7 linked regions of the Cricetulus griseus genome follow. The protein of the gene in region 1 interacts with the protein of each later gene in a biochemical or structural test. Links are inferred from orthologs where the notes say so. Each region holds a gene or a part of one and is shown in the gene's direction. Other genes may lie near its edges. The genes, in order: Erbin, Abca1, Mapk12, Scn4a, Pkp4, Arvcf and Atp2b4.

What was found.
Region 2: the proteins of Erbin (region 1) and Abca1 interact in a test that uses a peptide from one of them, tested with the Homo sapiens proteins (2 studies listed by BioGRID and IntAct). The link is inferred for Cricetulus griseus from reciprocal best matches to the Homo sapiens genes ERBIN and ABCA1.
Region 3: the proteins of Erbin (region 1) and Mapk12 interact in a test that uses a peptide from one of them, tested with the Homo sapiens proteins (2 studies listed by BioGRID and IntAct). The link is inferred for Cricetulus griseus from reciprocal best matches to the Homo sapiens genes ERBIN and MAPK12.
Region 4: the proteins of Erbin (region 1) and Scn4a interact in a test that uses a peptide from one of them, tested with the Homo sapiens proteins (2 studies listed by BioGRID and IntAct). The link is inferred for Cricetulus griseus from reciprocal best matches to the Homo sapiens genes ERBIN and SCN4A.
Region 5: the proteins of Erbin (region 1) and Pkp4 form a complex in vitro, tested with the Homo sapiens proteins (4 studies listed by BioGRID and IntAct, with this or other methods). The link is inferred for Cricetulus griseus from reciprocal best matches to the Homo sapiens genes ERBIN and PKP4.
Region 6: the proteins of Erbin (region 1) and Arvcf interact in a test that uses a peptide from one of them, tested with the Homo sapiens proteins (3 studies listed by BioGRID and IntAct, with this or other methods). The link is inferred for Cricetulus griseus from reciprocal best matches to the Homo sapiens genes ERBIN and ARVCF.
Region 7: the proteins of Erbin (region 1) and Atp2b4 interact in a test that uses a peptide from one of them, tested with the Homo sapiens proteins (2 studies listed by BioGRID and IntAct). The link is inferred for Cricetulus griseus from reciprocal best matches to the Homo sapiens genes ERBIN and ATP2B4.

Annotation. Positions count from the first base shown.
Region 1 is NC_048595.1:322,071,956-322,075,978, reverse strand, and holds part of Erbin (erbin), read left to right. Parts: intron 1-1,829; coding exon 1,830-2,036; intron 2,037-3,314; coding exon 3,315-3,407; intron 3,408-3,878; coding exon 3,879-3,953; intron 3,954-4,023. UniProt on the Homo sapiens protein: Acts as an adapter for the receptor ERBB2, in epithelia. By binding the unphosphorylated 'Tyr-1248' of receptor ERBB2, it may contribute to stabilize this unphosphorylated state.
Region 2 is NC_048595.1:90,742,436-90,746,458, forward strand, and holds part of Abca1 (phospholipid-transporting ATPase ABCA1), read left to right. Parts: intron 1-27; coding exon 28-169; intron 170-484; coding exon 485-619; intron 620-1,497; coding exon 1,498-1,601; intron 1,602-2,126; coding exon 2,127-2,219; intron 2,220-3,092; coding exon 3,093-3,336; intron 3,337-3,959; coding exon 3,960-4,023. UniProt on the Homo sapiens protein: Catalyzes the translocation of specific phospholipids from the cytoplasmic to the extracellular/lumenal leaflet of membrane coupled to the hydrolysis of ATP.
Region 3 is NC_048595.1:385,892,020-385,896,707, reverse strand, and holds the start of Mapk12 (mitogen-activated protein kinase 12), read left to right. Parts: upstream 1-1,721; coding exon 1,722-1,846; intron 1,847-1,936; coding exon 1,937-2,066; intron 2,067-4,688. UniProt on the Homo sapiens protein: Serine/threonine kinase which acts as an essential component of the MAP kinase signal transduction pathway.
Region 4 is NC_048600.1:119,270,637-119,274,659, reverse strand, and holds part of Scn4a (sodium channel protein type 4 subunit alpha), read left to right. Parts: coding exon 1-78; intron 79-533; coding exon 534-656; intron 657-2,371; coding exon 2,372-2,650; intron 2,651-2,929; coding exon 2,930-2,983; intron 2,984-3,121; coding exon 3,122-3,259; intron 3,260-3,884; coding exon 3,885-3,989; intron 3,990-4,023. UniProt on the Homo sapiens protein: Pore-forming subunit of Nav1.4, a voltage-gated sodium (Nav) channel that directly mediates the depolarizing phase of action potentials in excitable membranes.
Region 5 is NC_048599.1:115,554,388-115,557,503, reverse strand, and holds the end of Pkp4 (plakophilin-4), read left to right. Parts: intron 1-1,194; coding exon 1,195-1,443; 3' UTR 1,444-2,195; downstream 2,196-3,116. UniProt on the Homo sapiens protein: Plays a role as a regulator of Rho activity during cytokinesis. May play a role in junctional plaques.
Region 6 is NC_048597.1:70,854,797-70,858,819, reverse strand, and holds part of Arvcf (armadillo repeat protein deleted in velo-cardio-facial syndrome), read left to right. Parts: intron 1-2,642; coding exon 2,643-2,801; intron 2,802-2,971; coding exon 2,972-3,498; intron 3,499-4,023. UniProt on the Homo sapiens protein: Contributes to the regulation of alternative splicing of pre-mRNAs.
Region 7 is NC_048598.1:55,474,729-55,478,751, forward strand, and holds part of Atp2b4 (plasma membrane calcium-transporting ATPase 4), read left to right. Parts: intron 1-699; coding exon 700-891; intron 892-1,410; coding exon 1,411-1,624; intron 1,625-2,391; coding exon 2,392-2,603; intron 2,604-3,739; coding exon 3,740-3,847; intron 3,848-4,023. UniProt on the Homo sapiens protein: Calcium/calmodulin-regulated and magnesium-dependent enzyme that catalyzes the hydrolysis of ATP coupled with the transport of calcium out of the cell. By regulating sperm cell calcium homeostasis, may play a role in sperm motility.

The DNA of each region.
Region 1 (4,023 bases):
CAGATATAATAATTATGAGTCATATTTATTATCTACAACTTGTAAGTTGCTCTTGAGGGTAGGCATCCAGCCATCTAATATGTAATCATACATGCTTATTTATTTTATCCCTTTCCTTTCAATTCAAAGCTATCATTGAGTTTCTTTTTCTTTTTAACATGCACCTTACAGCTTAGTTTGTAACCCTTCTTTGTTTCACAAGGCATTGGCTAAACATAACGTAATACAGTTCTTATGTTTATGACAGGTGTCAGCAGCTTTTAAGAATAGGATAGGCTCAATGTGGTAGCGTATGGCTGTGTCTTAGCACTTGAAACCCAAGGCTGGAAGATCAAGAGTTTGAAGCCAGATGGGTCAGGGAGGGTGAAGCAAGAAAGATGGTTCAGTGGATAAAGGCACCTGTCCTTGAGTCTGCCATTATGAGGTCAATCTTTGGAACCTACACAATGGAAAGAGAACAGACTCCAGAAAGTTGCTCTCTGACCTTTACATATGTCATGGCATGCATACACCTACTTTCTAGAGAATAGTTTTCTTCCTAAACATCAAACCTTATTGTATCTTTAGCAGGATGCAAGTTCACAGCGTACAGTTATGAAACTTTTGCCAAACTTCTATTTTTGGATAATTTTTAGGGAAATTCTGAGGTTTTTTTGCTAATTTCCTTGAGGACAGAAATTCTCCTCTGTTAACCAACAATGGAATTTAAATGATTGAATAATGAAAGCATTTATTTCCTCTTCTATGTACAAGTCTTTTTACATGTGAACATTTATAATATGAATGTAGCCTCTTTTTAGCTAGATTCCTTATAGAATAGAATAAGCTATTTACTACAAAAGTAACCCTAAATCTAAAATTCAGGTTCCATTTCTTAATAAATGGGAGGTACGTCCTTAGTAGCAAATTAATAATCTCAAAGTGGATTAAAAATCCACTTTGCAGTGGAGTTTTTTTTTGGGGGGGGTGGGAAATAAAGTAGAGCCTCATTGTTTTAATTCTTGTGTTTTTAAATATTCCTTAGAATTAATGTTTATAGAGAGCTTGAAAATTACTGATAATGCACACATAGTAAAGAATCAATAACTTAATTTCTATGTAGATAGCTGAATTGACTTGTTACTTCTGAAAAGGAAGAAATCCAAGTTAGAAAATATACTAAAATTTAAAAAAAGCTACACTCCTGAATTAGTTTTTTTCTCGAGGAAAAACAATTTACATACACCTTTTATGCATGTTTGTTATGATTTGGTATGAGAAAAGGATACTCTTCTAATAGGCTAACATAAGCTTGAGTTTTTTTGGTTTTGGGGGTTTTTTTTGTTTTTTTTTTTTTTGTTTGTTTGTTTTTTGGTTTTTTGGTTTTTGGTTTTTTGAGACAGGGTTTCTCTGTGTAGCTTTGGAGCCTATCCTGGCTCTCACTCTGGAGACCAGACTGGAAGCTTGAGTTTTTTTTAGCATACAAAATGTTGTTTTATGTATATCAGTAGTTAAACTTTTTCAATATACGCGTTTCCTACTTTTAACATTGATAAGTGTAACATTAATATCTAACAGAAAAGCAATTAATTTAAAATATAGATGAGGCCATCATTCAAAGTTGTGATAGATCCAATCAGTAAATATTCAAGCAAGTTTAGAATTAAGACATTAATAACTTTGTTTCTCTTGGAAGGTTTAAAATTAGAGGAATATAGTGAATAACTCAGTATTTAATGGTATATAATATTAAAACTCTGGTGCATTTGTATTGCTCCAAGATGAATATACAAGTACTTGTAATAAGACATTATTACAGTCGTTTTTAAGATAATTCATGTCTTTCTTAGATGCCTTTGAGTAATGGACAGATGGGCCAGCCTCTCAGGCCTCAGGCAAATTATAGTCAAATACATCATCCCCCTCAGGCATCTGTGGCAAGGCATCCCTCTAGAGAACAACTCATTGATTATTTGATGCTGAAAGTGGCCCACCAGCCTCCATATACACATCCCCATTGTTCTCCTAGACAAGGCTATGAGCTGGCAAAGCAAGAGGTAAGAATTATCAAGACTGAAATATGAAATTAAAGTTTCCATATATTCTTATAGGTTAATAGCAATATATCCATACAGAATTTTAACAGTAGTTTTTACCATTTTGTTTTAAGTTTATGAAGTTTAGTTTTCTAAAGTGTTAAAACTTTGTACTTTTTAACTTGCCTTTATGATCATGTAACATTGGGGGTGTGGTTTTTTTAATTCTAAGGCAGCTGCTTGTCCAAAATAGATTGATGGTGCTCCAGCAGACTTTCTTTTAAGACAGAATAGTAGAGCATTAAAATGAAGTGGTCCTGTTCTACACCAATCTCAGCTTTTAGATTTGGAAATTCAGCTATATTCTCCAGGCCATGTTGAGAGTTTGATCTTTAAGATGTGTATAGATAACAATTTCACACACCTTAATGATTTGTTTATGAAGTGATAACATTGAAGCCCTCAGTGTTGATCACATTTTGTTTTGATGGAGTCTGTGGTAAACAGAAGCATCCTGTAACAGAAATTTAGCTTCTATAACCTTGTGCGCCAGCACCTTGAAGGCTGAGTCTGGAGGGTGGTGTATTCAAGATTGGATGCACCAGACAATCCAGGCTCTCCTGGGCTGTTGTGAAAGCTTGTGTTTATTAAAAAAAAAAAAAAAAAAAAAAAAAAAACTTAGGAGCTAAAGGCAGGAGGATCTCTTGAGTTCAAGCCCACCTGGGTCTACAGAGCAGATTCCAGGCCAGCCAGGGCTCCATGGTGAGACCCTGTCTCAAGAAAAGAAACTGTTTCTTCATCTCTTATTTTACAGTAGTTTGTGATTTTAAAATCCTTACTCTCCTGAAACATATAAACAGAAGGAATGAGAGTTGATTTCCTAAAACCAGCTCTGAATGTTAAGTATCTTATGACACAAGACAGTAGGCAAAGACAGCATGTAATTTAAGTGAAATTAAATGAAAACTGGTGGAAATAAGCATACGTGTTCTGAAGGTATGCACCATGCTGTTAAAATCATGCTGACTAAAAAGTAAGATAGAGCCAATGTCAGTTGATTGACTAGTCATAAATAAAGTCAGGAGCCACACTGTTTAATCCCAACTGTGCCTTTAACTCACTAACTCATTAACATTAATGATGTTCTGTGTTGTCATGTCACCTCATCTATCTAAATGTTTAGTTCTGATGAATCCTTGCATATTCTGCTTGAACTTAATTCACCAGTATTTAAGTATAGATGATAGTCTATAAATTTTCTGGCATAGTAATATTTCCTTTGTTTTCATATTAAATCAGATTCGAGTAAGAGTAGAAAAGGATCCAGAACTTGGATTTAGCATATCAGGAGGTGTCGGGGGTAGAGGAAACCCTTTCAGGCCTGATGATGATGTAAGTTTTTTTGTTTTTTTGTTTTTTTTTTTATGTTCCTCAGCACTCATAAGGTCTCTTTTATCAATCTCATACTTACTAGGTGAAAATGTAATGTAAATCTATGGGGCTCTCATCCCTTTTCCTTATTACCTTAGTTTGTTTGTTTGTTTTTTAAATTTGCTTATTGCATGTTGTTTGAAGGGAAGAATTATCCAAAAATGTGAATATTGATGATATTACCAAGTGATTTTTAGTTTTGGTACTGCTTCTCCAAAAGTTTGTAGAAGTGATTTCATTGCATTGCTAAAGTCAGAATTACTAAAGGGAGAAATTATATTGACCTGTCAGAGGGTACTCCAGTCAGGAGACAGCTCTCACCATGTTCAAGTATTTGCATGCTATTGAAAACGGTTTCCCTTGATCCTGAGTCATGCTCTCAATTTGTAGTTTGGCCTTAAATAATTTATTTTTTGTGATTGCTCATTAAAGGGTATATTTGTAACAAGGGTACAGCCTGAAGGACCAGCATCAAAATTACTACAGCCAGGTGATAAAATTATTCAGGTAATTAAATCAACCTTTTTATTATTTTCTTTCATTTTATAATAATTTTATTTTATAGTACTTTCTAATG
Region 2 (4,023 bases), about 230 Mb from region 1:
GAAGACTGGTTCTATCTTCCTTTACAGCATCTTAACAAATATCCATGAAGTACATCAGAACATGGGCTACTGCCCTCAGTTTGATGCCATAACCGAGCTGCTGACTGGGAGAGAGCACGTGGAGTTCTTTGCCCTCTTGAGGGGAGTCCCAGAAAAAGAAGTTGGCAAGGTATTGTGGGAACCAGAAAGCCCGGTTGTCTCTTTTGATACCCTTATATGGCATAGCTTCTCACACATGGTGGCAAGCTGAGACCTTTTCCTTGCCCTGCTGTAGTCTCTTCTCTGCACCCATTCTCATGGTGGGAGAAGGGAGAGTAGGCATACACAGGCTAGGGGTCAGGGAGCAAGTGCGGTCCTGTCACACGAATCTCTTCTCCCTCCCCTGAGTCCTCAGAGGTAGCTGAGACTTGAGTCCTACTCATGTAAGAAAGCATGATGATAGTACTGAACCAGACAAAGCTCAAAGTGCTCTTTGTCTCTCTAGGTTGGTGAATGGGCAATTCGCAAACTGGGCCTCGTAAAGTATGGAGAGAAATATGCCAGTAACTATAGTGGAGGCAACAAACGGAAGCTTTCCACGGCCATGGCATTGATAGGCGGGCCTCCTGTGGTGTTTCTGGTGAGTGTGCAGGTGGTGAGTGTGAGGGGAAGGTAGCAGCTATTCTGTCATGAATGAACGTGGTTCATCTGAAGTCACATGTGGGCCATGTTGCATACTTGGCAGGGTGACAGTAAGTCAATCTGCCATTCACTGCAGAACAGGCTTGAAGAAGCACAGGGAAGCTCCTCCCACAGAGCACACTGGGTGACTCTGCTGGACCTTAAAAGGCTTCCCCCCAAAAACATGCTCCAGACACCTTGTTTTCTTGCCTTGGATAATCCCTCCTAGTATGGCTGAAGCTGAGTGTGAGACTTGATCTCTCTCAGGAACATTCTTCATGGCTCATGACTGTATGTTCATCCTCCAAAGACAGAGAGTGAGGACAGTGCTTCGAGGTGACCATAGTAGACACTGGACCATAGTTCCTTACATGCAGATAAAGAAAAACCAGATCAGACTGGGCAGTGGCCCTTGACACTCATTTTGTAGAAAACACTAGAGGTATGGGAAGAAGCCTGACTTGAGGCTTTAATGTTACCTTGACCATATGAATCTGAACTTTGCATAAGATTAGCAAGTATAATAGAACAAGGAGTGACCTAGGGGAAAATATATTAGTTTTGCCTAAACCTTACTCTTAAAAAATGTTTTTTGGGTTTTTTGTTGTTTGTTTGTTTGTTTTTGGAGATTGGATTTCACAGAGCAGTCCTAGCTACCTGGAACTCATTATGCAGACTAGGCTGGCCTTGAACTCACAGAGATCCACATGCCTCTGCCTCCCCACTGCTGGGATTAAGGGTGTGTGCCACCACACCATGCATGATCTTTAGCATTAAAAAAATTATCTTTGGTATTTTTCTCAGCAAATAATTAAACTTATTTTATTCTAATTATAGGATGAACCAACCACAGGCATGGACCCCAAAGCTCGGAGATTCTTGTGGAATTGTGCCCTAAGCATTGTCAAGGAGGGGAGATCTGTAGTTCTCACATCTCATAGGTCTGTACTATATAGTCTTGGCCTCTGCAGTGTGTGATTGATTATATTTGGTTAATTAATGAAAATTAGAAAACAAAGGCTAAGACTGAAACAGTTATCACCTGGAATCATTCCACTTCAAGATAACTATTATCATTTGTCTGTATATAGTCCAGAGTTTTCTTATGCAAAGCTATACACACATAAGTGTTTTACAAACAAAAAATGTAATTATAATGTGTATATTGAGAATATTATTTCAAGACATAAAATTTGGTTGTGCCATCACTTCTCATAGCTGGATTGCATTTCATAAAGTTCTACCTTAATTTATGTAACTTTTCCTTGTGCAAACATTTGGATTACTTCTACCTTTTCACAACTGTAAAGCGCATGACAGAGAAGAGCATCATTCCTGTATCTTGGCAAGAGATGCTCTAAGATAATGGGGATCTGTTTTTTTAGAGTGCCAAGTGTCATGGTGATGTTTCCATGGATATAGGGGGATCTCTCTGAAAGGAAACCCTCCTTCTGTTTTTCCCACAGTATGGAAGAATGTGAAGCTCTTTGCACAAGGATGGCCATTATGGTCAATGGGAGGTTCAGGTGCCTTGGCAGCGTCCAACATCTGAAGAACAGGTAACAGATAATTTCTTTGGGATAGCATCTAGTGAAATGGTCGGTGTTTATTCTTTGCTGGGTGTATACATGGTGGCTTAAAACAAAAACAAAAGAGCTTAGCAAAAAGAACATGGGCTCCACTAAATCAGTTTGTGCATTAGAGTTAGATCTTGGACCCATTGCCAGTGGTCTCATAGAGAGGTGCCTTGTTCCTGCCTCAATGTGATGATGGGACAGACTTAGTAGACTTCCTAGGGGAGGCCTTACCCTCTTTGAGGAGCAGATGGGAGGTGGGGTGAGAAGGAAGTGAGGGGAGGGAGGGGGAATGGGGATTGGAATATAAAAAAATAAATTAATAAAAAAATAAAAGAGCATGGGCTTTGATGTCTAAATGGGCAGTAGTCCAATTCTGACTTTGCCACATACTGGTTGTGTGATTTATAGGCAAGTTACTTAACCTCTCTGAGAAGCAGTTTTCTGGGATACTTCTGAATTTTGTTATATAAATTAAATTTAATAATTTGTATGTGATGTTATGGTAATGAGGACACACTGTGGAGTCAATGGAAATGGGTTCACATCCTTGCCCTACCATAACCCAGGAGATAACTTTGGGACATGGGCAGGTGACTAAATTTCTTAGGCTTCTGTTTGTTTGTGTGTCAGACTTCATGGTTCCACACTGGGGATTTAATGGAATCTTGAATTCAAGGTTCTGAACACATGACTAGATAAAACTGGTTTCTTCTCTCAGAAACTGTTCTGTAGGTCTGCCAGAGATCTCCCTTTTTCTCAGTACAAAGCAGAGTTTTTGGGGTTAAGTATTATCTTGAGAAGTTTTCTGGGAATGCTCCATTTGGACGTACTTTTTTTTTTTTTTCCTGCCCTCAGGTTTGGAGATGGTTACACCATAGTTGTGCGAATAGCAGGGTCCAACCCTGATCTGAAGCCTGTCCAGGAGTTCTTTGGACTCGCCTTTCCAGGAAGTGTCCTAAAAGAGAAACACCGAAACATGCTACAGTACCAGCTTCCCTCCTCCTTGTCGTCTCTGGCGAGGATATTCAGCATCCTCTCCCAGAGCAAAAAGAGACTCCACATAGAAGACTACTCTGTCTCTCAGACAACACTTGACCAAGTAAGCCTTCAGTTCAAAGTACTTTAAGCTGCAGGGTTAGGATGCCTGGTCCTTCCTCCCACCATGAGCCTGAGAGAAGTTCAGCCTGTCTGTGTTTTGATTCCTTCTGTTATTACTGCCTATTCTGTATAAATCTCTATGAGCATATGCAAAAAGATGATGCTTTCTATTATATGGAGTTATTGTGACTGTTGTAGCAGTAGTCATAATAACTACCATTTATTGCCTATCAACCATGAGCCAGGCATTTTGCCAGGTGCCTTATCCTTTTTAAATAACAAAATATATTAAAATTGGTAGTTAATAGGTATCCAGGAAGTGTTTTTTCTTTTCCTTTTAATCAAGCCCAAATATGCCAAAGTGATAATTGATGAGATGATTGAGCAGTTGGTGATATGGGGGTAATGTAAAAAAATAATTTTTAACTGCTTTTGATGTTTTTCAAGTATTCTCCCCTTCACACGGGGTTTTCTAGTTCAATTACTTATTCAATTCTGTGTTCTCCTACCTGACACAATTTCAACACAAGGACAAAATGCAACCATACATACATAATAATGATACTGTAATCACACAAGAACAAGTCAAGAGGTATTCATGAATGTCCATCTTCCTTCTGACAGGTATTTGTGAACTTTGCCAAGGACCAAAGTGATGATGACCACTTAAAGGACCTTTCATTACACA
Region 3 (4,688 bases), about 64 Mb from region 1:
GGCTCCCTCTTACTCAATGATGAGGCTGGCTCTTGGGTGGGGTGATGATGTGGGATTGGCTCTGGAGGAAAGGCCAGTTCTTCCTCGGGGACTGGACAGGATATGGGAAATAGCTTTCCTTTCCTTCCTGGCTAAGGCAAAAAGGCTGCTTCAGCCCAGGGTACAGCCAGCTCATGTATCATGTCCATGTCCTGAATCTTGGACCTCTAGACACCTCCATCTGGCAGCTGGTCCAGGGGGGAAACCCAGAAGACCAGAGCCAAGTCCAGTGTTGGGGATCAGGAGAGGGAGTAGAATCAAATACATGGCTCTAGTTCCAAACCCTGATCTGGATTAGTCCCCTACAGAGGGAGGGGACTGGGGAGATTTTGGAAGAATATTGGTGGGTGGCCAGAGGCATGAAGGGCATTAAGGACACAGGATACAGGCAGATGTGGCTTGAGTGGCCTGGCTTCCCCTGCTCACTCGTGGTTGCTTGTGAATGTGCCACTAGCAGCAGCCCAGGCGCAAAGCTGCCCTGGCTGGCCTTGAGCTGCTGATTCATGGCAGCAGGCAGGCAGGCAGGCACGGAGGGAGGGGAAGAGCCTTCTGGGGGATCTTGTTACTACTCATCAACCCAGTGGGATCCTGGAATGGCCTTTGATCGCTAGGCTGTGGGAAGGATGGTGGCTTTACCCTCTGGGAGCATCTGGTTCAGGTCTAGGACAGACCCCAGAGAGAAAGCTCACATGGAAGCATCAGGCTGAAAGTTCACATAGAAGCCCCTCTTTTTCCTGGGAGCAGGCATGCCTTTAGCTCATTCCGGGCTTTGAAGGCTAAGCTGGATAACAGGTGGAATAGATAGAGGGGCCACTCCTAGTCTTTGCTTGAAGCAGGCACTCCATATACCAGGTAGGGGCCAAGGCTGGGAACAGAGGTGTAGAGGCCCTAGAAAGGTCTGTATGACCAATACCTCTGGTTCCTAGATTAGGAAACTGAGAGCTAGTGGCCACAATGGGGTTGGGTACGCAACCTGAGATGTCTGGGACACAGAACCAAATACTTCCTTCATAGAAGAGATGAATGGATCAGCTCCAGGGGCGGGGCATCCTTGGGAAAGAAGAGTTGACCAGGAACAGAAAAACAATTGGGATGGGGTGTGATTGGTAAATGGCAGGTGGACCTGACCTGGGGATGGAGTAAAAGTTGGTGAGCTCAAGTTGCCTAGAATGGGCCCGGCGTTCTGGAAGGACAGGAAAGGTTGGAATCCAGAGAAGCACCTGCTAAGAGCCCAGGGCCGAGATGTCTAGTGAGGATAGAGGGATAGAGGCCATCCAGGGTGTTTCAGCGCCACCTCCCGCCCCAGGTCGCGAGAGAGCTATGGGGCAGTTCCCCCTCTCCCCCGCCCTCCCTTCCCAAGCCTTCCGCCCAACCCCAGAGGCCTCCTCGGGTTTCCGCAGGGGCCGGAGGGCAGACGGGGGTGTCACGTGCTCAGGGCTCGGGGGCCCGGTTGGTCAGTGGGCCGGGAGGAACCACTTCGCTGGCCAGAGACAAGGGCCGGGTGGGTGTTGGCGGTTACAGAGAGTTCAGGGTGACGACCCCAAGAGAAGAGCCCGCAAGGGAAAGCCCCGAAGGCGGGCGGGCGGGCAGTGAGGAGCCCGCCCTCCACGCAGTGACCCGGGGCGCACGGGCTGAGCCCCTGATCTTGGGTCGGGTCCTGGGGCGCGGTGCTCCAGTCGGGGATGAGCTCCCCGCCACCCGCCCGCAAGGGCTTTTATCGCCAGGAGGTGACCAAAACGGCCTGGGAGGTGCGCGCCGTGTACCAGGACCTGCAGCCCGTTGGCTCTGGTGCCTATGGTGCAGTGTGGTGAGCGTTCGCCGGGCGGGGCAGCAGGCAGGGCAGGCGGCGGCTGGCGATTACGGGGCGGGTTCTCTAGCCAAGCTGTCCGCCCCGCAGCTCTGCAATAGACAGTCGCACTGGTAACAAGGTGGCCATCAAGAAGTTGTACCGGCCCTTCCAGTCGGAGCTGTTTGCCAAGCGCGCCTACAGAGAGCTGCGCCTCCTCAAACATATGCGCCACGAGAACGTGAGTCCAACGCCCGCCCCAGATGCGGACATTGTGCACTGGCCACTTCTCATCCTGCCCTCCCCTGCAATCCTGTCCACTACCTCTGCTTCCTGAAGCCTGGTACCTAGTTAGCCTCCAGCTTGAAAAAGCTATTAGCAGCTTCCAGGAGGGAAGTGGAGACAGATTCCAGACCCCTTTCTGAGCGACACTGCAAGTTCATGCCCGGCTTCAGTGGCTTGGTTTCATCTTCCGTCCACCTCTACTTTCTCGGCCCAGGCAGTGGTCAGGGTATGTTCTAGTCCTAAGGGCTCCTCAAGTCTTACTCCAAACCCTGTCTCCATTCAGGTTGGTGGGAAGAGGATTTTCCTGGAAGGGGCGTCTCTTCCCCACCCTAGGCCTTCTCTTGCCCACTTCCAGCCAGGCAGGTCACTAGAATTATGCACCCTGGCTCTATCACCCCAAAGCCTCCAGTCTCTATGGATACGGGGTTTAAGGAGAAGAGCAGGGTTTAAGGAACAGAGAGTTACAGTCACCACTGTGGGTGTGTATTTCTTCTGTCAGCATCGCATTTCCGATTTCACCTGCCCATAGTAGGATACTGCACATGGCTGCCCTTGTGCCTCTCATATCAGCCTTGCTAGCCATCAGAATCCTCTCAGCTGGGGGCTTTGTCTTCATATGGTTCTTCCTGAGGCTGTGAGTTCCATTCCCCCTCACTTGACATCTGGGGAGTTGCACTAGTCCTGAAGTATGTTTTAATCTCCTGGGTCATCAGAGTCAGTAACCCCATGGAACAATGATCTCCCTGTGTCTAACAGCAAACTTGCTTCGTCATTGCCACTCTTGGTTGATGTGTTGGACCTTTATTTCTTTTCTTCATGAAGCCTGATTAAGATGGACGTCAGCCCTGCTTTGTCTGCCTCCCCACTTCCCCATAAATCTGTAAACAGTTATAAAAAACAAAACAATCAAACAACTTGGGAGGCAGAGGCAGGTGGATCTCTGTGATTTCAAGGCCAGCCTGGTCTACAGAGTGAGTTCCAGGATAGCTAAGGCTACACAGAGAAACCCTGTCTTGAAAAACCAAAACAGACAAAACAGTAAAAGGCTTTGTTCTCATGGGTGTAGCCACCCCTATCCTCAAGCCCAATCCCACCTAGCCACCTACTTATCCCGAACCTTTCTCCAGCCAAGGGTTGTGGGCTTCTTCATTCACTCCCCACTCCTGAGTGAGTCTGTGGGTCAACCCATAACCCTTGCCTGGGTGTGCTAGCTTTCAGGATTCCTCAGCACCTTCTGGGAAGCTGCCATTGTATCTCCCTTCTCGTGTGGAAACTGAGGTTTGGACAGGCTGTATGCTCTACTTACCAGAAATGGGGCTGCCACAGATCCAGCTCTAGTCTTCTTCCCTTTCTCCTCAAGCTCTGGTCCTTGGCTCTGGGTCACATCTAAACCACAAAAGTGCAGAAGTCTTATGCCTTTGGTGGACTTACCTTGACCTCTAGGACCCTATTCCTTATATATTCTACTAAGCTCTCAGGTCACATCTGTGGTTTATCTGCCCCCAAGCCTTTCCTGTCCATGTTCTTACTCCCAACTTTGGCCATGCCTAAAGTGATCACTCAGCTGCCCTCTACCTCCTGTCTATTCTTGCCTCATTCTATTTGTCCTTTCACTGAAATCCAGAGTATATACCTATCTTTTTTTTTTTTTTTTCACTCTTTGGTTTTTTGAGACAGGGTTTCCTCTGTGTAACAACTCTGGTTGTCTTGGAACTCACTCTGTAGATCAGGCTGGCCTCAAATGCACAGAGATCCACCTGCCTCTGCCTCCTGAGTGCTGGGATTACAGGTGTGTGTCACCACTGCTCAGCCTCAGCATTTTATCTTTGTTTCCTTCCATAGCAGCTCTGTGGAGCAAAGCCAAATCTTCCTCTGGGATGTGAGTTTGAGGCCTTCTTTTGGCTCCTTCTGCCTTCTCCTTGGTTCTGTATTGGCCTGGGCTTTAGCTATTTGGACTTCTTCTCTGTTCCTTACTCTGAAGGTGTTTTCTGTCCTACTTTGGCCATCAGGCACCCTGCCTCTCTTTGTTCTTTCACTCGTCCCTCCTGATAGTTGGGTATGCAGCACTCATCAGGGAGGCCTCTCTTGACCCCAGAGTTCCGGTCCCCCTCCCAAGTACTGGGAAACTGATGTCACATTGTCCATCTGTTGTCCAACTCCCACAACCAGAAGCTGTGTTTAAATTGGTGCTTCTCCTTGGCCTAGATAGCCAGGGGATGGCCCCGGGAAGAACCTACTAGGTATTTGTTCCTCCCAAGGGACTGTCCCCACTTTGGTCTTGGGTCTGCTTCATTGAGGAGGAGTAAAAGGGGGGGGGGACTAAGGGGTTGGATTGCTCAGAAGCCTGGAGTCAACCTAGACTTGAGACTGCACCTCCCCCCAGAGTATCCCGGCTGTCAGCATCTAAAAATAGATTGTGTCTGTGGGCAAATGTACCAGGGTGGGGGCTGAGCTGACAGTGGGCACAGTGGAGGAGACAAGGATAGTTATAGGAGGGTTTTATCCCTGGAGAACAGTGCCACCCTGGGCATGCACTGAGTCCTTGCATCTCCCATGTGCTCTCCATCCTGTCTGGCAC
Region 4 (4,023 bases), on another chromosome or scaffold:
CTGCTCAAGTGGGTGGCCTACGGCTTCAAGGTGTACTTTACCAATGCCTGGTGCTGGCTCGATTTCCTCATCGTGGATGTGAGTTCCCTGGGTCTGGTCACATAGCCCAATGTCAAGGCCTTTAGGGAGCCCCCCCTCTGGGAGGTAGGATCTCTCCAAATTCACGCAGAGAGTCAGGTCCCAGGCCAGCACTGTTCCCTACAGACTGGCCTTTTGCTTCCCAGATACTACAGCCCAGGCCTGGGCCTTATGATCCCTGCCAGTGTAAGGTTTCCATGTGTTCTTTGATGGGCACACAGGACCCTAGGAGATGGGTACTGTCTTTCCCGTTTACTGACATAGGTGACACCATTGAGATGATCTCAGGCTCTAGGGTGCTAGAGGTCACAAGGCTACTCTCCCCACCAGACAGGGTCATCTACCAGGGATGGGATCTACAGGAGACAGACAGAAATTGGGATTCCCCTCTTGTGTGTCTCAGGCAGAAGGTAAAGCCAGGGACCCCGAACCCACTGAACACACACTTCCTACAGGTCTCCATCATCAGTCTGGTGGCCAACTGGCTGGGCTACTCAGAGTTGGGTCCCATCAAATCTCTGCGAACACTGAGGGCCCTGCGTCCCCTGAGGGCACTGTCGCGATTTGAGGGCATGAGGGTGAGTATTGGATGGGGAACACTGAAAAGGGCTCAGGGGATTGGAGCAGCCACCTACGGGGCAGGGTTACAAGGTACGTGACAATTTGCCAGTCAACCATGGGCAGGCAGAAGGTTCAAACTGTTGATGGCTGGAGTTTAGGGTTGTGACCCATATCCAAGAAGCCCCGGTCCAACCCCTGAGCTCTACCAGACCATGCACTTATCTCTGCTACCACTGGAGGGCAGCAGAGGCTGCTGCAGTGGCCTGGAAGGCTTGAAGCAAGGCTTGGCCTGTGGGTTTATGGGTCTCCCCACCTCGGATTGGGGGCCCCAGGGTCCTGTAACACAAACGCATGAGCAAGTTCTTTTGCTTCAGCCCTGAGCCTGCCCCTCTTGAGCATGGAACCATGCCTTTGGCTTCAGGGGCACTTTAGAGAAGATCCCCCAAAGGCCTGTGAGAGCAGTGGCAGATAAACACAAGGTCTGGGCAAAATCAATGGGACTTCAGTCAGTGACTAGACATCCGCTGGGAATAAAATCTCATTCCAGGGACCCTGGTTGACCCCTCCAGGGTCAGCCTAAGCACTCCAACCTCCCCAGTTCATAGAAGATGCTGGCCCAAGGCTGGACCCCCAATCCTGGTTGCTGGGGACCTCTTCCTGCTAGGACAAATAACGCGCTCATGCCAGCTGAGTGGTTTGAAGAAACACAGCACCCCTAGCTCCTGCCACCAGCTGTCTAGAGGCCATGAGATAGCTCTTACTTAAAGGGGAACTGATCAAGCTAGGGTGTGGCTCGGTTGGTAGAGTGGCCACCTAGTGTGCACAAAGCCCTGGGGACAATCCCCTGAACCTCATGCCTTAGGTGTAGTGGTACACACCCCTAATCCCAGCACTCAGGAGGTGGAGGTAGGAGCAGCAGCTCAAGGGCTTCCTCAGCTACACAGCAAGTTCAAGTCCAGCCTAGGAACCATGTTTTGAACCCTATTTCAGAAACAATTAAAAAGGGGTGTTGGCAGCAGGGGGAATAATTCTCAGATTCAGCCAAGACTAAAGCAGTCTGGTAGGCCTATAAGTCCAGGGCTGGTAAGGGACAGGAATCTGACTCTAAATCCTAGTGCTCTGCACACCTTGGTGGCTTCTTTTTATGCCCTTTCTGTGTCTTTCACTGATGCAGTGAGCCAAGCCAGGTCACGGGGGGCTGAATTTCCTATGGGGGCTAAGAAAGCAGTGTTTGTCTCCTGCTCTGTGACCCATGACCTGGCAGCTTCCAGAGAAGCCTGGCACCCTTACTCTGCCTTGATGGCTCCAGTGAAGCAGAGAGCACTTCTAGAGGACCAGTATGCTAGCTGCTCAGCCCCTACCCTTACCCCTGTACACACATGCCCACCCAGCAGACCCTCCCTTACCCCTGTACACACATACCCACCCAGCAGACCCTCCCTTACCCCTGTACACACATGCCCACCCAGCAGACCCTCCCTTACCCCTGTACACACATACCCACCCAGCAGACCCTCCCTTACCCCTGTACACACATGCCCACCCAGCAGACCCTCCCTTACCCCTGTACACACATGCCCACCCAGCAGACCCTCTCCCACCAGGACTGCCTAAGACTGGCCCTTTGTGACTGCCAGTGCTCAGCTCTGCCCAGTTCCCTGGCTGGGAGTCCCCTGTCAGAGATCCCCGAGAGTGGATCTAGCAATGACCCCACTGCCACCCTGGCCCCTAGGTGGTGGTGAACGCCCTCTTGGGAGCCATCCCCTCCATCATGAATGTCCTCCTTGTGTGCCTCATCTTCTGGCTCATCTTCAGCATCATGGGCGTCAACCTGTTTGCCGGGAAGTTCTACTACTGTGTCAACACAACCACCTCTGAGAGGTTCGACGTCTCTGTGGTCAACAACAAGTCTGAGTGTGAAAGCCTCATGCACACAGGCCAGGTCCGCTGGATGAATGTCAAGGTCAACTATGACAACGTGGGCCTGGGCTATCTCTCCCTCCTTCAGGTGGTGAGTGGCACCCATTGAGCCTTCTCAGAAGTGGGTAGAAGTGCCTAGTTGCCCCTCATTGTATCAGAACCCACTTGTGTTCCTCGCCAGGGGTGGCCAATCTGTTTCACAGCGCCGAGGGACCCAGAGGTAGTGTTCCTGTCTCTCTAGAATATTTGATGCTGCCCACTGGGTCCAGGCAGCTGGTGTTTGGAGAGGGCTTGGTTAGGGAAGGGAGGGAGGCATGAATGGTGGTGTGTGGGAGAGCCCTTCCCCTCATGACCTGCCATGATCTCTCAGGCCACTTTCAAGGGTTGGATGGACATCATGTATGCAGCTGTGGACTCCCGGGAGGTGAGTGGGTCACAGGGTTGATAAGTTAAGTTAGGGGGGAGCTGATAGTTGGTAGCCCCGCAGTCTGGGGAGGAGGGGTCCTGCTCATCGTACTCTGGGGCACAAAGAGAAACTCCGTGCGCGTACCTCACCCTGTAGAAGGAGGAGCAACCGGTCTATGAGGTGAATATCTACATGTACCTTTACTTCGTCATCTTCATCATCTTTGGCTCCTTCTTCACACTCAATCTCTTCATTGGCGTCATCATCGACAACTTCAACCAACAGAAGAAGAAGATGAGTATCTGGCCCTTCCCAGAGGAAACCCAACCCCCACCCACCCACTGCTTCCTGTAGTCATAGCTGCCTGACAGCCCTCAGCAGTCACTGACCTGGATGCCGGGGTATCCCACTAGGGGACCAAGCCATGACTTGACCCCTTGAGCTCCACCTTCCTAATCTATAAAACGAGGTGGATGCAGAAACAGGCATGGTGACACACACCCGGAATTTCAGCACAAAGTGGTCTGAGGCACTACGTTCTCGAGTGTAGGCCAGCCTGGGCTACATAGCATATTTGAGGCCAGCCTATGCTACAAAGCGAGGCCCTGTCTCAATAGCAATAAATAAAATGAAGTAGATACAAACTGAGGACTCATTGGTGAAGCCTTGGTGGAACTTAGCATGAAGCTGGAAATTGGCCCGGAACCTTCTCATTCCCTCCTTCTTTTGCTCATCCATCCTTCTTTAGAGCCAGTTTCCCCCTTCCTCACCCCTCCACCTTTAGCCCCTCTAGAGCCTACGCCTTCCCTCCAGATGCTTCTTAAGGGGTAAAGTCCACCTTCAAGGTACTGCTTGAGGTAGGGAGTCCTGGAAACGGGGAGGGACGCACCTCTGTCTGACTGTCTTCGTTCTGCTATACTTTGGAGGGAAAGACATCTTCATGACAGAGGAACAGAAGAAATACTACAATGCCATGAAGAAGCTTGGCTCCAAGAAGCCCCAGAAGCCAATTCCCCGACCTCAGGTACCAGGCTCCGGGTCCCTCCTCCCGTAACCTG
Region 5 (3,116 bases), on another chromosome or scaffold:
GTGCATGCTCTTTGTCCAGTAGTTTCCTTCTCTGACTTTTTTTTGTTTTCCATTAACCTAGAAAGTCTCTTCTATTCTCTGGGTAAGACAAAGTTGGTGAGCAAACCTCGCAGCCTCCTGTTCTCTTTGGACACTTCATCCTCCATCACCATGGCTTCCTTCTCATCCAAGCTCCATGCTTTGAAAACCCTGAGTCTGTAGCCCACTTAAGAGGGTCTTCCCGAGCTAGCCCCTGGAACTGTACTGCCACACACACCCCTTTCAACCACAAAGCTAAGGTTTCCCAGTCAGAACTGCATTGTGTCCTTCCAAATAAGTGTTCTAAGACCCTATCGACACTATAACCTTTAAGTCAAGAGAAATCTAACTCTGCTTTTAAAAGAGGAGATAGTTAGCTAAGTATATTTTTTAACTCTGAAATACCATGATGTTAGAATGAGTTTAAAGTCAGATGCCAATACCTATATGGTAAATTCTTCAATCTTACCAAGATTGTGGGGCAGGGGGCGAATTTGGGCAGCATGCAGACAGACATAAGAGCTGTGATAATTTGAGGGCATCGTGGTGAGGTCAAAGCTAAGACAGCACAAAAGGAAATGGGGTCCGGGTTCCCTGTGTGGATAACATGTGGTACTTCACTTTCTTCAAAGGACCTTATTGGAAGTCTTTGCCTCTACAATGCTATTTGCTCATGTGTCTGCTAATTTTGTTACCTTCCTGCCTTGAGATTGCTCGTCCTCTAATAATAAACTGTACAGCAGAGTTCATCACACTATGTTACGTCTTTTAAAATTAAGCAGTGGATTCACATACAATCCTATAGTTATCTGAATATCTAAAACCAAATCCCCGGCCCTCAGGAATGTCCATGATATGCTTAACTTTCCTGTGCAAAAGCTGCCTCCTCTTTTGGTCCCTAAATAACAGGCTCCTCCACATCCCTTGCCACCTCCCATTGAGGGCCTAAACTCTCCTGAGGCCTCAGGGCAAGACTTGAACAAACAAAGCCAGCTTGCCTATAAACATAATTTAAAATCCTCCCTACTGTGAGTAAACATGGTGTGCACCTGAAATAGCTGCCCCCACCACCACCCTTAGCCCACAAAGAACTGTAAAATGTGAAACTGATGTACAGTGTTCTTTCAATGTGTGTTTTTAAAATGCTCTCCCTTACTCGACTTTCCATTTTGCCAGCAGCACCAACAGCTGTACTATCAAGATGACTCCACCAGGAAGACCTTGGATGCATACAGGTTGTACTTGCAGTCTCCTCGTAGCTATGAAGACCCTTATTTTGATGACCGAGTTCACTTTCCAGCTTCTACTGATTACTCAACACAGTATGGACTGAAATCAACCACAAATTACGTAGACTTTTATTCCACTAAACGACCTTCTTACAGAGCCGAACAGTACCCAGGGTCCCCAGACTCGTGGGTGTAGCATCAAGACGCCTGGCGAGGGACTCTTTCTTGCTAACTTTTGCTTGGATTGAGGTGAAAAGTCCGTCTTGCTGATTTGATGATGAAATGTGGAAAGTGAAATGGAAGGAATGAGTGAAGTGTATTTTTTTTTTTTTTTTTTTTTGAGGAATTTTCAGGGAAGTGAGGAAACCCTTGGGAGAGGACTTTCTAAGCTCTGTGTAGGTGTTAGGTCTAATTACTTGTAGATTCTAGTGGTGAAGGTATGGGTGATGTGATGAGAGGTTTGAGAAATGGGTGAAATGAGATGGGGTATGTGTAGGTCAAATCAAATTACAGATGATTTTTTTAATGTGAATAAAGTTATGTTCAGATAGTTTGTACAGAAAAAAAATAATAAAATGGATGCCCTTCATGTTTTATTGCTATTACTAAATGTCAAGATTGTATGCTATTATGTCTTGTAAAAATTTATTCTGTTGGTGTAAATATGGAAATGCCACATTGGTTAAGTGCCATCATTTGTAATGCAGTGTGTCGTTTGAAAAGAGATTTGAAGAACTGACAGCCTAAAACACAAGTGGGAAGCCCAAGGAACTATTACCAGTTGACAACAAACTCTGACATCCTGTTTTCAGTGAGTAGTGACCCCTGGAAGCACAAAGCTCAGTGTGACAGCAGCGCCATGCTCATCCCGCCTCTTTCACAGGACACTTCACTGCCATTTTCTATGCACATGGAAGAATAATAAATGTGGAAATTTCATCCTTGAAATGTGGTCTGGTCCTCTTTTTCTGGGTGTGATATGGAAAACAGATTAAGTCTGTTTATGAGGTGGGCCACACTGGGCAGTGAAGATGTGGCTGCTACCTTACTGCCCCTTAGTCTATGTATTTCTTGGAGTTTTTGTTTGTTTTAATTTTATCTCCAGTTTTAGTGGGTTCTGCTTTGTTCCAACCTTCTAGATGTATTTAACATCTCTTTTCACCGAAGGGTATTTACATCTGGCATCCTGGCCATACTACATTGGTAAGGACCACTTACAGCATCATTTTTTTGGAACTAAATCATTACATATGGAGAGTTGGGCATTTGCTTGCTTGGCATCAATGTTAGAAGCCAACACTGATTCTAAATAATTATTGTGCTCAGTACTTGTTGGATTATAGACAGCATTTTGAGGTCTATAGGCATGTCCCAATGTTACTCTGCAGCATGCAGCATTGTGACTATAGAGAGACCCAAGAAACAGTACTTTCCTGGGTTGAAAACAGCCCGAGGTTAGGATTCAAAGTAAAATAGGTCCAATGTAGGCAGGAAAGTAGCTGAATCCTACAAATGGTGAGCCTTTTTGAGCTCACCATTTGCAAAGACCACCTAAGATGGCTGACAGGTCATGCTCTCTGCCACATGTGCCCTGGCAGGACAGAGAAAACAGCTTTCTATATGACAAGTCACTGGATGTTCCTGAGGAACTGACACAGACTTTTGGACTTCACACCTATTTGATCTCACCTTCCTGAACCTGGTTCCTTGGTATCTAGGTTTAAGTAAAGGCTGTTTGCTAAAAGGCAGAAAAACTGGGACCTCCAGAGCTGACTGACAGGAACTGTTTCTTTTAGTGACTGTTTTGGCAGCGTTTATTGCAACTAATGCAGATCACAGTTGGGAAGAACTCATTTGGGCCTCCTGTAA
Region 6 (4,023 bases), on another chromosome or scaffold:
CAGAATCAGCTGTTAGGCTACAGGCAAGAAGTATGGGAAAACGAATTGGCTGGTAGGTAGGTATGAAAACGAAGACACTTTACCAGCCTTTCCTGTTGAAAATCAGTTGTGCTGCTGGTCAGCACACCATTACACGGACCCACCTCAGAGAAATGATAGAAGCTGAGTCCCAGGATGGCCTTGAGCATCTTGCTACCAAAGGCCTCAGTTTCCCCATCTGTATGTACTACCACTGAAAACCCAACAGTCAATTGGTGACTGGGTGTCAGTGGCTCCTTCTCTGTATGTTGGAAGCACATGTAAGGGCTAGTACCAATAAAGGATGGAAGATAGGGTGTGTTTGAGAGCAGGGGGCATGTGCATCCATCAGTGCACTCGTGGCTGTATTTCTGACTAGGAACTTGTACATATATTGCATATATATGTGCTCCTGTTTGAGGGGTTAGAGACATGCGCTTGTATGAGTCCAGATCCCTGCCTGTGTGTGCCCAGGCATGAGTAGCTGGCTTGACTTTCTCAGGACCAGGCTGACTTAACACGTCTGCCTGCCTGCCTGCCTGGGTGAGGTCATTAACTGCTTTTAGCTTCCCATTTGCTAGCAAAGACTCTGGAAGCTCAGGATCCCTCAGCCCATATGTTAGTGGGTGATTACTGCAGGTTGCCTCCCTTTGCTGGATCCCGGTTCTCCAGACCACTCCAGTTGCTATGTGTCATACCCTCAGCACAGCCCAGGGGCTGTGATTCTGTCCTTCCTTGTTTACCATATAGATAGGGAGTAGGGTAGCGTTCTTCTCTGAATGTTTAATATATGTAGATGCATGCAAATCTACAAAGGGGCCCTGTCCTCTGGCAGAATGTCCCAAGCAACATGTACCCTCAGCCTTGCTCCTCCCCCTCCTTCATATCTAGGAATGCAACCCCTAGGTCCAATCCCCCCCCTCCAAAAAAGAGAAAAAACCTAACCAAACAAAAACCCCTCTTGACTAGCTCCCCAGGGTCCAGCAGTGAGAGCTAGGGCTTGATATTCAGTCACCAAATAGAGATGGGACAACCCAGACTTCAGCACAGAGCTGTCCCAACTACCCAGTGTCCTTGGAGAAGTGCCCAGGTCACCCAGTCTGGCATTTTTCCAATTGTCCCCACATTGGGCCTCATCTATTTTTCTTTCCCAGAGAACAGGGTCTCCTCTTCCTGGCCAGGTCCCAGCAGACATTCCTTCTCATCCCTAGGAAAGTAACTGCCAAGGCACTGTCCTGAAGAGGTGAAGCAAAGCTCAAAGGCTTCCTTGTCACATGTGTTCCTGAAATCCCCCTGCTAGGATTGCTGAAGTTCTGGGCAAACCTCCTCTGCTCAGCCAGGCCTCAGTTCTCTTATTTATAAAGTCATCTCTTAAATCTCTAGGCCCTGCTCCTGAGGGAGAGAGAGGTGTGCTCTGTGCCTCCACTTTCTTGTGTTACCAGAACCCAGGATGTCCTGTCATGCTACTGCTACACTGACACTTGTCCACTTGTCTCCATCAGGGGCCAGGGACTCCCCCAGGGCAGGAGCTGGTCCGAGAAGGTTTACTGTCCTGATGGCCTCTGCAGGAAGGCCTGTTGTAAAGGCAGCCTGGTCCCCTGCTTAGCACATCTCCCAGGCCAGGGAAGGGCATTGTGGTTCCGGAGCTGGGGGAGATGCCATGTGAACTACTAACCCTCCCTGGGCCTTGGGTGGGCGAGGCACAGCCTTCTGCTGACCTAGCCATGGTTACAAAGGAATGTGTCCCCTCTAACCCACCCACGGTAGCTTGAGTTCCACTGCCTGTCCAGGCCAGATGCCAACCCTGAGATGTTGACAGGGTGAGGCCCTGAGCCCAGGACAGACCATGGGCTCTCAGATCCATGTTCCACTCTGCACAGCAGGAACTGGCCTGTCCTTTGGAGTTGGCTTCCACACTGACTAGTCTGACTCAGTCCATGGCTGTTTTTCCTAGGATTTGGGCATCATGCCTCTGCACAGGGTGGTGGCAAGGTGGTTGCAGGTAGGAATCCATATATCTAGTGTCTGGTATGATGGTTGGTCTCCATGTCCCAAGAGCCTCTGGGCTAGAAGGAGCAAGGATATCATAGCACTGTGGGTGCCTGCAGTACTCTAGAAGGTGGGCATCTTGGAACTGTGAGGACTTCTGGCTGATCTTGGCATGGGATTGTGTGAACTGTGCTGAAACTGTGACTCTAAGACTTGGTCATTTGGACCTTATAGTGTAGAATGAGGAGGAAGGCCAAATTGAGGAGGCAAGTGATGTCAGGAGAACATCTTGCAGGACATTCTGGGTCCCTCTTGGGGCCTAGAGAGGCCTGTGGTAGAGCCATACAGCTCGGGGAAGCCACCTTGCACCCAGGAGAATTGAGCCACCCTGGCTTTGTCAGGGTACTGTCCAGGTCTCAGCCACCAGGCCCATATACCACTTTCTTGTCCACCAAGTCACCAAGAAAGTCAAGATCACAAGGACAGTATGCCAGGTGCCTTTGGGTCCAGATGGACTCCCCCCTACACCTCATCCCTAGGTTGAAGAACTGATAACCCCTGGTGCATGGTCACCAAACATCTAGGCAGAATCTATTGTACATGGAGCTTGACCTCTGACACCCTTCTCCTTCCAGGAACAGAGCCCGGGTAGCCAGGCATCGCTCGCCACGATGCCAGAGGCACCTGAGGTGCTGGAGGAGACAGTGACGGTGGAGGAAGACCCTGGCACGCCCACCTCCCACGTGTCCATTGTCACATCAGAAGATGGCACAACCCGGCGCACTGAGACTAAGGTATGGCTGGGCCCAGGCAAGAAGAGGGCAGCTTGGACAACCATAGCCATCCCTCTGTGGGACAGGCATGTGAGCTGACCCCCTAAGGACCACTTGTTTGGATGGAGAACCCTGGCACTGTCCAGGTCTCTAGAGACACCAAGCCCAAATGCTACTTTCTCGTCCATCAGGTCACCAAGACGGTCAAGACTGTGACCACAAGGACAGTACGCCAGGTGCCTTTGGGCCCAGATGGACTCCCCTTGCTGGATGGTGGCCCCCCACTTGGTTCTTTTGCTGATGGGCCCCTAGACCGGCATTTCCTTCTGCGTGGTGGTGGCCCAGCAGCCACACTCTCCCGAGCCTACCTCAGCAGTGGAGGTGGCTTTCCTGATGGCCCTGAGCCCCGTGATATTCCAAGCTATGGCAGCCTGTCCCGAGGGCTTGGGGTACGGCCCCCACATACTGGCTTCCTGGGCCCAGGGCCTGGTGATGGCTGCTTTACACTGCCTGGCCGCCGAGAAGCCTTCCCCATGGGCTCTGAGCCTGGACCACCAAGTGGCCGCTCCCTGCCTGAGCACTTCCAAGCTGAGCCGTATGGCCTTGAGGATGATACACGGAGCCTGGCTGCCGATGATGAGGGTGGCCCTGACCTGGAGCCTGACTATGGCACAGCAGCTCGGAGGAGGCCTGAGTATGGGCGGGGCCTTCGTGCCAGGTGAGCACCTGTTGCTTATGACTGCCTCTTCTGTGAACTCTGTCTTCCACTCCCAGCTACAAAGTATCCCACAGGTCATCAGGCTACATTTCAATTTGAATTGGCTTCATCTCTTCTCAAGGATGGCAGCAAGAACGGGCCTGGGATGATAGGCATTGAGCTGGTGTCACTGCCTGAAGCTGCCTCTGTTCTAATAACCAGCTGGCCATGAAGACCCAGGCCTCAGATGCTCATGGTGTGACTCTGCTTAAGGCCTCTGATGTTTTCATCATGCACACTAGCTGAAACCCAAAGGCCCTGGTTCTTCTTGTCATGGCCCTTGATCCTGCCCTTTATGCCGTCCCCATTTATATCCGTAGCATGAAAACAGGACCACACAGCCTGAGTCTGGAGTTTGCCATGTGACTCTGGGCAAATTACCAGACTTTCCTAGTCTCAAACTCTTCCCTGGGAAATGGGCTTGAGAATTCATAGGGCACCTGAGAGCCAAAGACATGTCTCATCAGATGGTCTGATTGCAATGGC
Region 7 (4,023 bases), on another chromosome or scaffold:
TTGTATGCTATGAGACCACTTTTCCTAGAACAAACTGGTTTCAAAAAGGTGCTGGGGGAGACATGGATTTCAATCCTGCTTGTGTTGAAAGAAATGTAGGAATTTGGAGATAGAACAGATAGAACTTGCCCCCTCACTTTCAATGCTAAGGCTGAGGGGGTAGTAGGGTAGGAGAAAGGACTGTTAAAAGATGCCTAATTCCTCATCTGGGACAGCAGTCAGTCAATTATTTCAGGGTCCAGATGTGTAATAGTCTCTCTTCTACCACCAAGCAGACATGGACCCAGTGGCCACAGTGGGAGCCTAGCCAGGCTTCTTACCACTTCCAACACATACCTATCAACCCATCACTTCTCTGTTAATTGTGTGGCCTTTTCAACCCAGGGTCTCCTCAGAACTAAGAGCAGAGGTGGTGAGGAAGACTCAGTTCCCTGTGCACACACTTTTCATGGGTGCTGGCAAGAGGCTCTGAGAGGGACTAGGGGACAACAGGCCGCCTTTTGATCACTTGAGGGACTCTTCTGGAGAGCAGCAGGGAAGTGGCGCCCCTTTGTTTTCTGTTGTGGCTATAGTGACCTCTAGTGCCTGTGCCTGGTTCTGCGGCTCCTTAGAGGTCCAAGTTCTTAGACCCTGGGTTTCAGAGTATACCACATACTGTCTGATTAGCTGCTCACTGTCTGCCTTCCTCTCCCACCTCAGGGCATTGCAGGCACAGACGTGGCTAAGGAGGCGTCAGACATCATCCTGACCGATGACAACTTCACCAGCATTGTGAAAGCAGTGATGTGGGGACGGAATGTGTATGACAGCATCTCCAAGTTCCTACAGTTCCAGCTCACTGTCAATGTGGTAGCTGTGATCGTGGCTTTCACTGGAGCCTGTATCACTCAGGTTGGGTGGGGCTTGGATGGCAGGGATGACTTAAGGACTGAGGAACATAGGGTAGGGGGTATAGTATACCTACTCAGGAATGAAAGACAGGTATTTCCCAACACTGCTTGGACAGTTAGCTACACCAGGTTTATAGACTCCACTGTAATGGCTCACCTACCATTAATTTAACATTTTTTATGTGGTGATATCTTGCGTGTACAAATAAAGCCTGTCTGAAGGTCAGAGAATGGAGCTTGCCACTAGCTATCCATAGCAAGTCTGGAGGAAGTGACGTGTACTTATGTGGATTATCTCTGCCTTTTCAAAACAAGCTTGCTAGGCCGATGTTATTTTCCCCTTATAGAGATGAGCCTGAAATTATATAAATTTGTCAGAGTCACTGTGTACCTAGGTAACCAAATTCAAGGTCTGGTGGGTAGCAGGAGCTAAGCCACCTCAAGGGAATGATGGCACTGTAGAGTGAGACAGGCTTGTTTTTCTGGAGCAAGTTGTAAGGACTGGTTCTTCTTCCTACAGGATTCTCCATTGAAAGCAGTGCAGATGTTGTGGGTTAACCTGATCATGGACACTTTCGCTTCACTGGCCCTGGCCACAGAGCCCCCTACCGATTCTCTGCTGAGGCGTCGCCCCTATGGGCGAAAGAAGCCCCTGATCTCACGTACCATGATGAAGAACATCTTGGGCCACGCAGTGTATCAGCTCACAGTCGTCTTTGTCCTTGTCTTTGTTGGTGAGCCACAGTTTGGGCTGAGAGAAGGTAGTATGGCAGATGGGGAAATACAGACCCGACAAAATAGCAGCTTCACCAGCGAGTGCTGCCTGTGCAATCCCGGCACACAGCCACAGTGCACAACCACAGGGAGACAAGTACCAGTGGAGCCAACTGACAGACAAGATCACATATGTGGAGACCAGAAGCAACATTTAAAAGATTTCATTAATGGGGCCTGGAGACAGAGTTCTGCAATTAAAAGCACTTGTTGCTTTTACAGAGAGAGGACTCAGGTTCAGCCTCCAGCACCTATATGGTGGTTCACAACTGTCTGTAAATCCAGTTCCAAGGGACCTGATGTCCCCTTCTGACCTTCTGCGAGCCAGACACACACGTGGTACACAGACACACATACAGACAAAATGCCCATACACATAGAACAAAATACATACGTCTTAAGTAATTTTTAAATGTTTTATTTTTAAAAATAAAACGTTCGACAGGGTAGGTCGATCTCTGTGAGTTTGAGGCCAGCCTGGTTTACAGAGTGAGTTCCAGGACAGGCTCCAAAGCAACACAGAAAAACCCTGTCTCAAAAACACAAAAATAAATAAAAACAAAACTAAAATGTTCAATAGCTAGTGTAACTCAGAAGCTGACCAATTAGAATGAACTTTGGAATGGCCAGAAGCCAGTAGCATGGCTGTCCCAACCTGTTCACCCTTTCAACCTGAACCCTCACTGAGACCACAGGCATCCTCTAATACCGGCCCCGCCCCCACCAGGTGAGAAGCTGTTTGACATTGATAGCGGAAGGAAGGCGCCTCTCCACTCACCGCCCAGCCAGCACTATACCATTGTCTTCAACACCTTTGTGCTGATGCAGCTCTTCAACGAAATCAACTCCCGGAAGATCCATGGTGAGAAGAACGTCTTTGCAGGCATCTACCACAACGCCATTTTCTGCTCTGTGGTTTTAGGCACATTCATCTGCCAGGTGAGATTCTATCTGAAGCTGGGGTTGGAGGGCTGGAGGGTGGGGGACGATGGAGAGAAGAAGGAGTTCTGGGGCCCAAGGCTGTGAGTAAACACTTTGGGATTTCCCGGTTTGCTTCCATGTGCACCTTGTTCTAGAACTGGGCCCAGTCAGGTGCTCCAGGACAAGGTAGCATGTTACCCGCAAATATGACTTGTAGAATACTTTCATGATCTTTCCAAACGTGCAGAGAAGTTCCATATAGTGACTAAGAGAAGGGCCACTATCTTCTACCTTCTTCCCATGCCAGCACACATGAAATGTGTATGTACGGGTCGTGTAGGCTCCTCGCCCCCACCCCCTTCCCTACCCCCTTCCCCACCCCTGCCCTTTAGTCCTGAATGGGCTGATGCCTGAAAATGTTACACAGTCCACAGAGGAGAGGAGTGATCGATGGAGCACGGTTGCCTGGCAGTGGAAGGATGAATTCCTTCCTTTTTGTCGTACTCAGAGGGTCACCAAGACATGTGGCTATAAAGGATTATGAGCAGGTCACAGCACCAAAGACCATCTTCCTGGGGCTGGAGACATGGCTCAGCAGTAAGAGAGGACCAGTGTTTGAATTCCAGCACCCACATCATTGGACTCATAATCGCCTGTAACTCTAGCTCTTCTGGCTTCTGTGGCACATGGTTCAGAGTAGAGACCCACACAGAGACGCAGATACAGATATGCACACAGATACACACATGCACACACAATTTTAAAAATAAATCTTAGAAAGAAGCTGGCTTTCTCTCAGCAAAGCCCCTCCCTTCAGCCCCATCCCTCCACCTCATTCCCGGCTCCGTTCCTCTTCCGCTGTCCCTTCTCTCTGTCACCCTTTGGCCTCAGTCACAGGAAGCTTCCAACTGCCTCTACTCTGGCCAGATGTATATTAATCCCTGTCACAATAGTCCCACTGAAGTGCTCTATAAAGATTGTATCGGTCACTTTTTTCTTCTTTGCTGTTCCTTCCACAAGAGAATCCAGACTTGCACAACTCTGACCCTGCAGGGGGCACTGTGGCTTTGGCCACCTTTTCAGTCTCGGTGGGTGGAAGGCTGACTCCCACGAGATGTTTCCATCATGGTAGGCTGCCCTTTGCTCTGTTTCAGATTTTCATTGTGGAATTTGGGGGTAAACCCTTCAGCTGTACAAAACTCAACCTGGAGCAGTGGTTGTGGTGTCTCTTCATAGGGATTGGAGAACTTTTGTGGGGCCAGGTGAGTGTGGGGTGCCCTCTTGCAGATCCTCAAGGCTGTAGACCTCCCCTCTCATAATGAGAGGAACAAGTGTCTACAGATACCCAGCGCCTTGTTCCATCTTATCCTTCTGTCCCCTTCCTTCCATCATGGCATCAGGCTCCTTCCGTCTTGGGGTACCGGGTTGGAGTGACCAC